2 linked regions of the Saccharomyces cerevisiae S288C genome follow. The gene in region 2 interacts genetically with the main gene of each other region. Each region holds a gene or a part of one and is shown on either strand. Other genes may lie near its edges.

What was found. Genes that interact genetically often act in the same process or in processes that back each other up.
Region 1: mutations in MRF1 (region 2) and DAP1 together harm fitness more than expected from each alone (negative genetic interaction), as found in Saccharomyces cerevisiae (one large-scale study listed by BioGRID).

Annotation. Positions count from the first base shown.
Region 1 is NC_001148.4:226,778-229,272, forward strand, and holds DAP1 (Dap1p), read left to right. Parts: upstream 1-1,536; coding exon 1,537-1,995; downstream 1,996-2,495. Other genes in the region: OYE3 (NADPH dehydrogenase), read right to left, coding at 1-594; MEX67 (Mex67p), read right to left, coding at 2,262-2,495.
Region 2 is NC_001139.9:232,763-237,690, reverse strand, and holds MRF1 (Mrf1p), read left to right. Parts: upstream 1-1,732; coding exon 1,733-2,974; downstream 2,975-4,928. Other genes in the region: GPI10 (putative glycosylphosphatidylinositol-alpha 1,2 mannosyltransferase), read left to right, coding at 1-1,422; putative lipase ROG1, read left to right, coding at 3,184-4,928. UniProt on the Saccharomyces cerevisiae protein: Mitochondrial peptide chain release factor that directs the termination of translation in response to the peptide chain termination codons UAA and UAG.

The sequences.
Region 1 (2,495 bases), on a different chromosome or scaffold from region 2:
CAAGTACCCATTGGCGCTATGAATTTCTACACCATCGGCGCCAGCCGCGATAGAATTCTTAGCCGCATGGATGTAATCCTTGATATACTGTTTAATGTCGTCTTTAGTCAAACTATGTTCGAGATTATTCGCATCTTTGGCCTTTTCTTGTAACGTAGCATTCATATACACTCTGTCAGATGCACAGTCATAGCGTAACCCGTCTCTTGCCAATACGTCTGGGAAGGATGCCCAGCCTAAAGACCAAAGTTGTACCCACGCGAACGACTGACAATCATGGATGGCTAAAAAGATATTCTTCCACTCAGCGACCTGCTCATCAGACCAAATCCCAGGGGCGTTGTCATAGCCGCCGGCTTGAGGGGAAATAAACGTACCTTCCGTGATGATCATGGTACCAGGTCTTTGAGCACGCTGACCATAATACACAGCAGCCCACTCCTTATTTGGAATATTTCCGGGGTGAGTGGCCCTCATTCTGGTCAATGGGGGCATAACCGCACGATGTGCAAGCTGAGTGTTACCAATCTTAATTGGTTCAAAAAGGTTTGTGTCTCTTAGGGAGATCGGCTCAAAACCTTTTACAAATGGCATCTTCTAAATTTAAACTTCGCTATACTGAACTACAGTTGTTGTATATATCAAGTACGTACTTTTTTGCATATGATGGGCAAGAATCAAGCACAGTTCACAACCCTTATATAGGTTCGAGTTGTCCTACTTACAACACTGTGCTTAGTAATGGTTATTGCGACTTTATCCTTGTTCTGAACGGAGTTATATCAGGAACGCAAACTGCTTACTAAGGAGCCCTTCTAAGGAGCCCTCCGCAAATAATAGGATCGGCAATTTCAGACGGAGGACGGAGCCGCCTAAGTGCCAAGAACATTAAAGAAGAAAGAAATAAACCTTGAGCGGCTACACGAAACAGTGGTCAAGAGTAGAATCTCTGAAACGTCGAACCCTCTTTGTCAGTTATCGCGGGCATATTCTGAGAAGAAGCAATATACAACAAACGAGCAGGACAGATTAAAATTTTCAAGGCGAGGTAAGCTGTGCCAGATCAGTGTGGGACGACGCTCAGTAGTTGGCGATCGAAGCACGTGATCAGTTTTCCACATCCGTGATTTGGCGCAAATTACCATGTGAGCGTGCGGGAATAAGCTCCTTTATTTGCGGAGCGACAAAGGAAACGAGACCATATTACCCTACCTTCCTTGTTTTATTTTACTTTTTTTTCTAATTTTAATTTTCTTCGTTCCTTCAACTGTATGTACCCTTTTTCTACCGGAAATAAGACGGTCGTAGTGTCCGCGTTTTTGGTTCTTTAACGACAAGACATCAGTGCCTTCTCGCATTTTTGTTGAATTGTATTGTATTATGCTCGATGTTTCCAGAACGATATATACATCTGAGAGTTTATATATCAACGATCATTTTCTTGTTGCAGTAAGCTATAATAGACGCGTCAAATAGTCTAACCAGTCTAAATCTCATCAGCCACACACACGTACATCGGAATATTATAGAGAACAAATGTCCTTCATTAAAAACTTGTTATTTGGAGGTGTTAAAACAAGTGAGGATCCAACCGGGCTCACAGGTAACGGGGCCTCAAACACAAACGATTCTAATAAAGGTAGTGAACCGGTAGTAGCGGGTAATTTCTTTCCTAGGACGCTTTCCAAATTTAACGGCCACGACGATGAAAAAATATTTATTGCTATTAGGGGCAAAGTATACGACTGCACAAGAGGGAGGCAGTTTTACGGTCCAAGCGGGCCATACACTAACTTTGCAGGCCATGATGCGTCGCGTGGTCTTGCATTGAACTCCTTCGATCTGGACGTTATTAAAGATTGGGATCAGCCTATCGATCCCTTAGATGATCTGACAAAAGAACAGATTGACGCACTGGATGAGTGGCAAGAGCATTTTGAGAATAAGTACCCATGCATTGGTACTCTGATTCCGGAGCCTGGCGTGAACGTATGACGATTGAGCTCCGCACATTATTTATTAATAGCAAACACCAAGGAAAGGGAAAAAGGAAGGGGCGTGGTGGACGATGATATATGTATACATATACATATCTATATTTTGAAAAAATCTTCTATATAACGGTTGTATAGAAATAATTACTTATTTATGAATTAGTACAAAATATACAAAGCATGCTGCTGTTCGGAACGTGACGAAAACAGTAGCTTAAACTGTATATTTTTTGTGATACTGTGCGGCTGAAACAGGGAACAATATCATTAGAACTGCACAAATGCTTCTCTAGGGATGCCATTCATGCTACTCTGAAAACCCTTTATGGCAACTTCATAGTTCCAGTTACTTTGCTCGGCCAACATAAACGTGTATTCTGCATTCAATTTCGTTTCCAAATGTAGTTTATTCAGCAGCTCGAGTTGTACGGGATTTAGCCGCGACTGGACATCTGGAGGTAGTTGCAAAGTGGGAGCCATGACCATGGCTCCTTGGGGTGC
Region 2 (4,928 bases):
GTTATGGCAGTACTAGCTTCCATAGGGGAATATTATATCGTAAGATTTGTTCAAAAGCTCTATTTACTTACACTTGATAAGAGAAACGAGAAGGAGGAAGAGGAGAGACGCAGCGGTTTATCCGAGATTACGAAGTTTGCACTGCTTTTAAGTTTAACTAATTTTTTTAATTGCTTTTTTATTACAAGAACGTTCATCAACTCTTTTGAAATGATTTTAACTTCTATTGCCCTCTACTACTGGGACTGGACAGGCGGACAAATGATAAAAGAGTCATCTTTTACTAAGTCGCTTATTTTTGCATTTCTGGCATGTTTGCAAAGACCCAGCAGTGGACTTATTTGGGTAATTCCCAGCATTTCCCTAATATTAAACTTGGTAGGCAAAAAGCAGTATCATTTACTTTTCATCACATTTTCCAAAGTTTTACGGTCTTTTTTTCTGGTATTTACTGCAAATGCAATTATCGACATGTATTTTTATGAAAAAGTAACGTTTCCCTTTTTCCGATTTCTAAAATTCAATTTCACAACACCATTATCAAAGTTTTATGGGGTAGCTCCTTGGCATTTTCATTTCTTTCAAAGCTTACCTATCGTATTAGGTGCAAGTATTCCCGCTTTTGCATTTGGATTATTTTTTCCACTAAGCAAAAGGAGTTTCCCAAAGAAGTATTTAAACCCGTTTTTCCAAGTGAAACTCACTATCTTGTTGAATCTGTTGGTGTACTCTACGTTACCTCATAAGGAATTTAGGTTCATCTTCCCATTACAGCCACTTTTCATATTAATATCATCATTTGGCCTTTTGAGACTTGATAGAGATTATTGGAAAAGACTATCTGGCCTAAAATCTTTACTCTGGCTTGTTCCATTCGTGTCGGTGTTCATCGCATTACTTTTGGACACATTCCACGAATCTGGATCTATCGAAGTTATGAAATTTTTACATGAAGAGCCAGAAATAGATAGTTTGGGATTCATAATGCCCTGTCATTCGACACCTGGTCAAAGCTATTTACACCGCAGTGACATTCAAGATCTGTGGTCGATTACTTGTAACCCTCCATTGCATTTACTTGGAGACCCAGAGGCTTACTCCAAACTAGAGACCTACATGGATGAAAGTGACCATTTGTATGACGATATATCGGCATTCATTTACAAAAATTTCCCACCGCCTTTTCGTAAGGATCTAAGGAGTCCAGGTAAAACATACAGCCACGAATGGCCAACATATTTGGTTGTTTTCGAGCACATGGAAAACGCATTTCTAAAGGATTTCCTGAAAGATTCATCATACATTGAATACAATAGATTCTTCAACTCTCTTGCGCACTGGGATTCAAGAAGATCAGGAGACATAATAATTTATTATAAATTACCATTCGATTATAGCGATATTCCAGCGGCAGATATTTAAATTTGTGTATTCTTCACTTATCAGTTTACTTCATTTCGCGAAAAAGCCTTTAATTATTAGTGATTTATTTACTACATGATATTAATATATGTGTATAATTATGCAATAAGGCCTCTCAGAAAATATATGTGTTACTTCTCGTTGTGCCATCTGTACTAGGCTGAGTAATTGTGTATTTCATATACTTGTTAGGAGGATTTGCTCGCTCGGAGGATAAATACAGAGCGTTAATAGTGCGTATCATATGTTTTATAATATCTCAGGAATGAAAAGTTCGTAGAGCAGAACAATATATTTCATTGGTGCAAGCATGTGGCTTTCAAAGTTCCAGTTCCCCTCGAGGTCCATCTTTAAGGGTGTTTTTTTGGGTCACAAGTTGCCGTTACTAGTGCGACTGACATCAACAACGACTAACTCTAAGAGCAACGGCAGCATCCCAACACAATACACAGAACTCTCTCCGTTACTTGTTAAGCAAGCGGAAAAGTATGAAGCTGAACTAAAAGATCTTGACAAAGACCTTTCTTGCGGCATTCATTTTGACGTGAATAAGCAGAAACATTATGCTAAATTATCAGCGCTCACTGATACATTTATTGAGTATAAGGAAAAACTAAATGAATTGAAAAGTTTACAAGAAATGATTGTATCTGATCCATCATTAAGGGCGGAGGCTGAACAAGAATATGCAGAACTGGTCCCCCAATATGAAACGACCTCCTCAAGATTGGTAAATAAACTTCTTCCACCGCATCCGTTCGCAGATAAACCTAGCTTACTAGAGCTTCGACCGGGTGTAGGTGGCATTGAAGCCATGATTTTTACCCAGAATCTATTGGATATGTATATTGGCTATGCCAACTATAGAAAATGGAAGTATCGAATTATATCGAAAAATGAAAACGAAAGTGGGTCAGGCATTATCGATGCCATTCTGAGCATTGAAGAAGCCGGATCTTACGATCGTTTGAGGTTTGAAGCAGGCGTTCACAGGGTGCAGAGAATTCCTAGTACGGAGACTAAAGGAAGGACGCACACATCCACTGCTGCCGTGGTTGTGTTACCTCAAATTGGTGACGAATCTGCTAAATCTATTGACGCTTATGAAAGAACATTTAAACCTGGTGAAATCAGAGTTGACATCATGCGTGCAAGCGGGAAAGGTGGTCAACATGTGAATACGACAGACTCTGCTGTCAGATTAACCCATATCCCCTCTGGAATTGTTGTTTCCATGCAAGATGAAAGATCTCAACACAAGAATAAGGCTAAAGCATTTACGATCTTAAGAGCGAGACTTGCAGAGAAGGAAAGGCTGGAAAAGGAGGAAAAAGAAAGAAAAGCAAGAAAGAGTCAGGTTTCTAGCACCAATAGGTCTGATAAAATTAGAACATACAATTTTCCACAGAACAGAATCACTGATCATAGGTGCGGGTTCACATTGTTGGACCTGCCAGGTGTGTTATCTGGAGAACGATTGGACGAAGTTATTGAGGCAATGTCTAAATATGATAGCACCGAACGGGCAAAAGAATTATTGGAGAGTAACTGACGAACGTAACTTTTCGTTTCTTGTAAATATCATATCGTATCTATCACTTCTGTAAATCTTCTTTTCTATTGTTCTGCGCCACGTAAGAACTGACGCACATAGTAGATGCCCGAAATATGCAAAACTCTGTGAAATAAATTGTACCGCCTCAACAGTTCAGTAAGAATAGTACACAAAGAGAGTGAAGTACGAACCGTGTTTTGCTCAAGATGTCTCTGACACCAACTAATGAAATATTGTTTCATTACAAGTCTTCAGTGAAGGTTGGTGAACTTGAGAGATATGTAATTACTTATCATCTTTATGACGGTGAGGAAATTCCACCAGATTTGAATTTAAATTCCTTGTGGTTAAAGGTGAGAAATATGAATCCGTTATCGTATAGAGCTGCGTACCTAATGGGTCCATTCATGCTTTATTGCGATGTAAAAACTGCCCAATATCATCATTCCCAAAAAATAGTTGCTTCAGTTGATTACCCCAAATTTGAACCGAATGTGCAAACTCAACAAGATTTCGTGGCTGAACTTTCAGTACATAACATACGACAGAAATACGTATGGATTGCTGATGTGATGAGTCAAATATTGTTCACTACAAATACGAACGTCACTTACGAAGTCACTATTGGAACTAGTAAAGAGTCAGTAGAAAATCCGCATGATCTGCCATCTCATCTAGGTTCTTATAGCCCTAAACTTACAGTGAACAGGTTAACTACCTTGGATTTGTGGAATCTTCCCGTTCAGATTACCACACCACAGAAAAAGAAACATCTTGTAGTTTTGACACATGGTTTACATTCTAATGTGTCGACCGATCTAGTGTATATTATGGAACAGATATACAAAGCACAAAAGAATTATCCCCACGAACAAATTGTTGTGAAAGGTTATAGGGGAAATGTCTGTCAAACTGAGAAGGGAGTTAAGTATTTAGGTACTCGTTTGGCCGAATATATTATCCAGGATTTGTACGATGAATCCATCCGCAAGATTTCTTTTGTAGGTCATTCATTGGGTGGCCTAATCCAGGCTTTCGCAATAGCGTACATTTATGAAGTCTACCCTTGGTTTTTTAAAAAGGTGAATCCAATAAATTTTATTACTTTAGCTTCACCGCTTTTAGGTATAGTCACAGATAATCCCGCCTATATTAAAGTACTACTTTCATTCGGGGTTATTGGAAAAACAGGTCAAGACTTGGGTTTGGAAAATGATGTTGAAGTAGGCAAACCGCTTCTCTACTTGCTATCTGGTCTGCCCTTGATAGAGATTTTGCGTAGGTTCAAAAGGAGGACAGTATATGCGAACGCTATTAATGACGGAATTGTCCCATTGTATACCGCATCGCTATTGTTCCTAGACTATAATGATATCTTGGAGCAATTACAGAAACTAAAGGAGAACAGCAAAAAATCACCGCTAATAAATGATGCTTCAACACCTGTGAATCAAGATTTCTTCAATAAAACTTTCATTTCGCCTCTGACTAAAATGTTGAGTATACTGGCGCCACAAAAGTTTCCTACGGAGAATGGTTCCGAAATTCCTAAAGTATCATTTTTCGAGTCAGCAAGCTCAATTCTCCTTCCTCCTTTACCTGAAAGAGCGTACATAATGGATCCAGATTCAAGAGATCCTGTAATTATTCATGATAAGATATACAATGAGGATGACATTCCACAATCCGAATTTGATATCGAAGACGGTTTTTTTGGTAAAAAGAATATACTCCTTCAGGCTTTTTTTGCAGGAAAGAAAGAACGTGCGAAGTATCGAAATTTGGAAGAAACGATTGCTCGAAGGTGGCATGAAGGAATGGCATGGAGAAAGGTTGTCGTTGCTTTAAAACCTGACGCTCACAACAACATTATAGTCCGAAGAAAGTTTGCCAACGCATACGGTTGGCCCGTTATCGATCATCTGATAGATGTCCACTTCAATGGTGATGA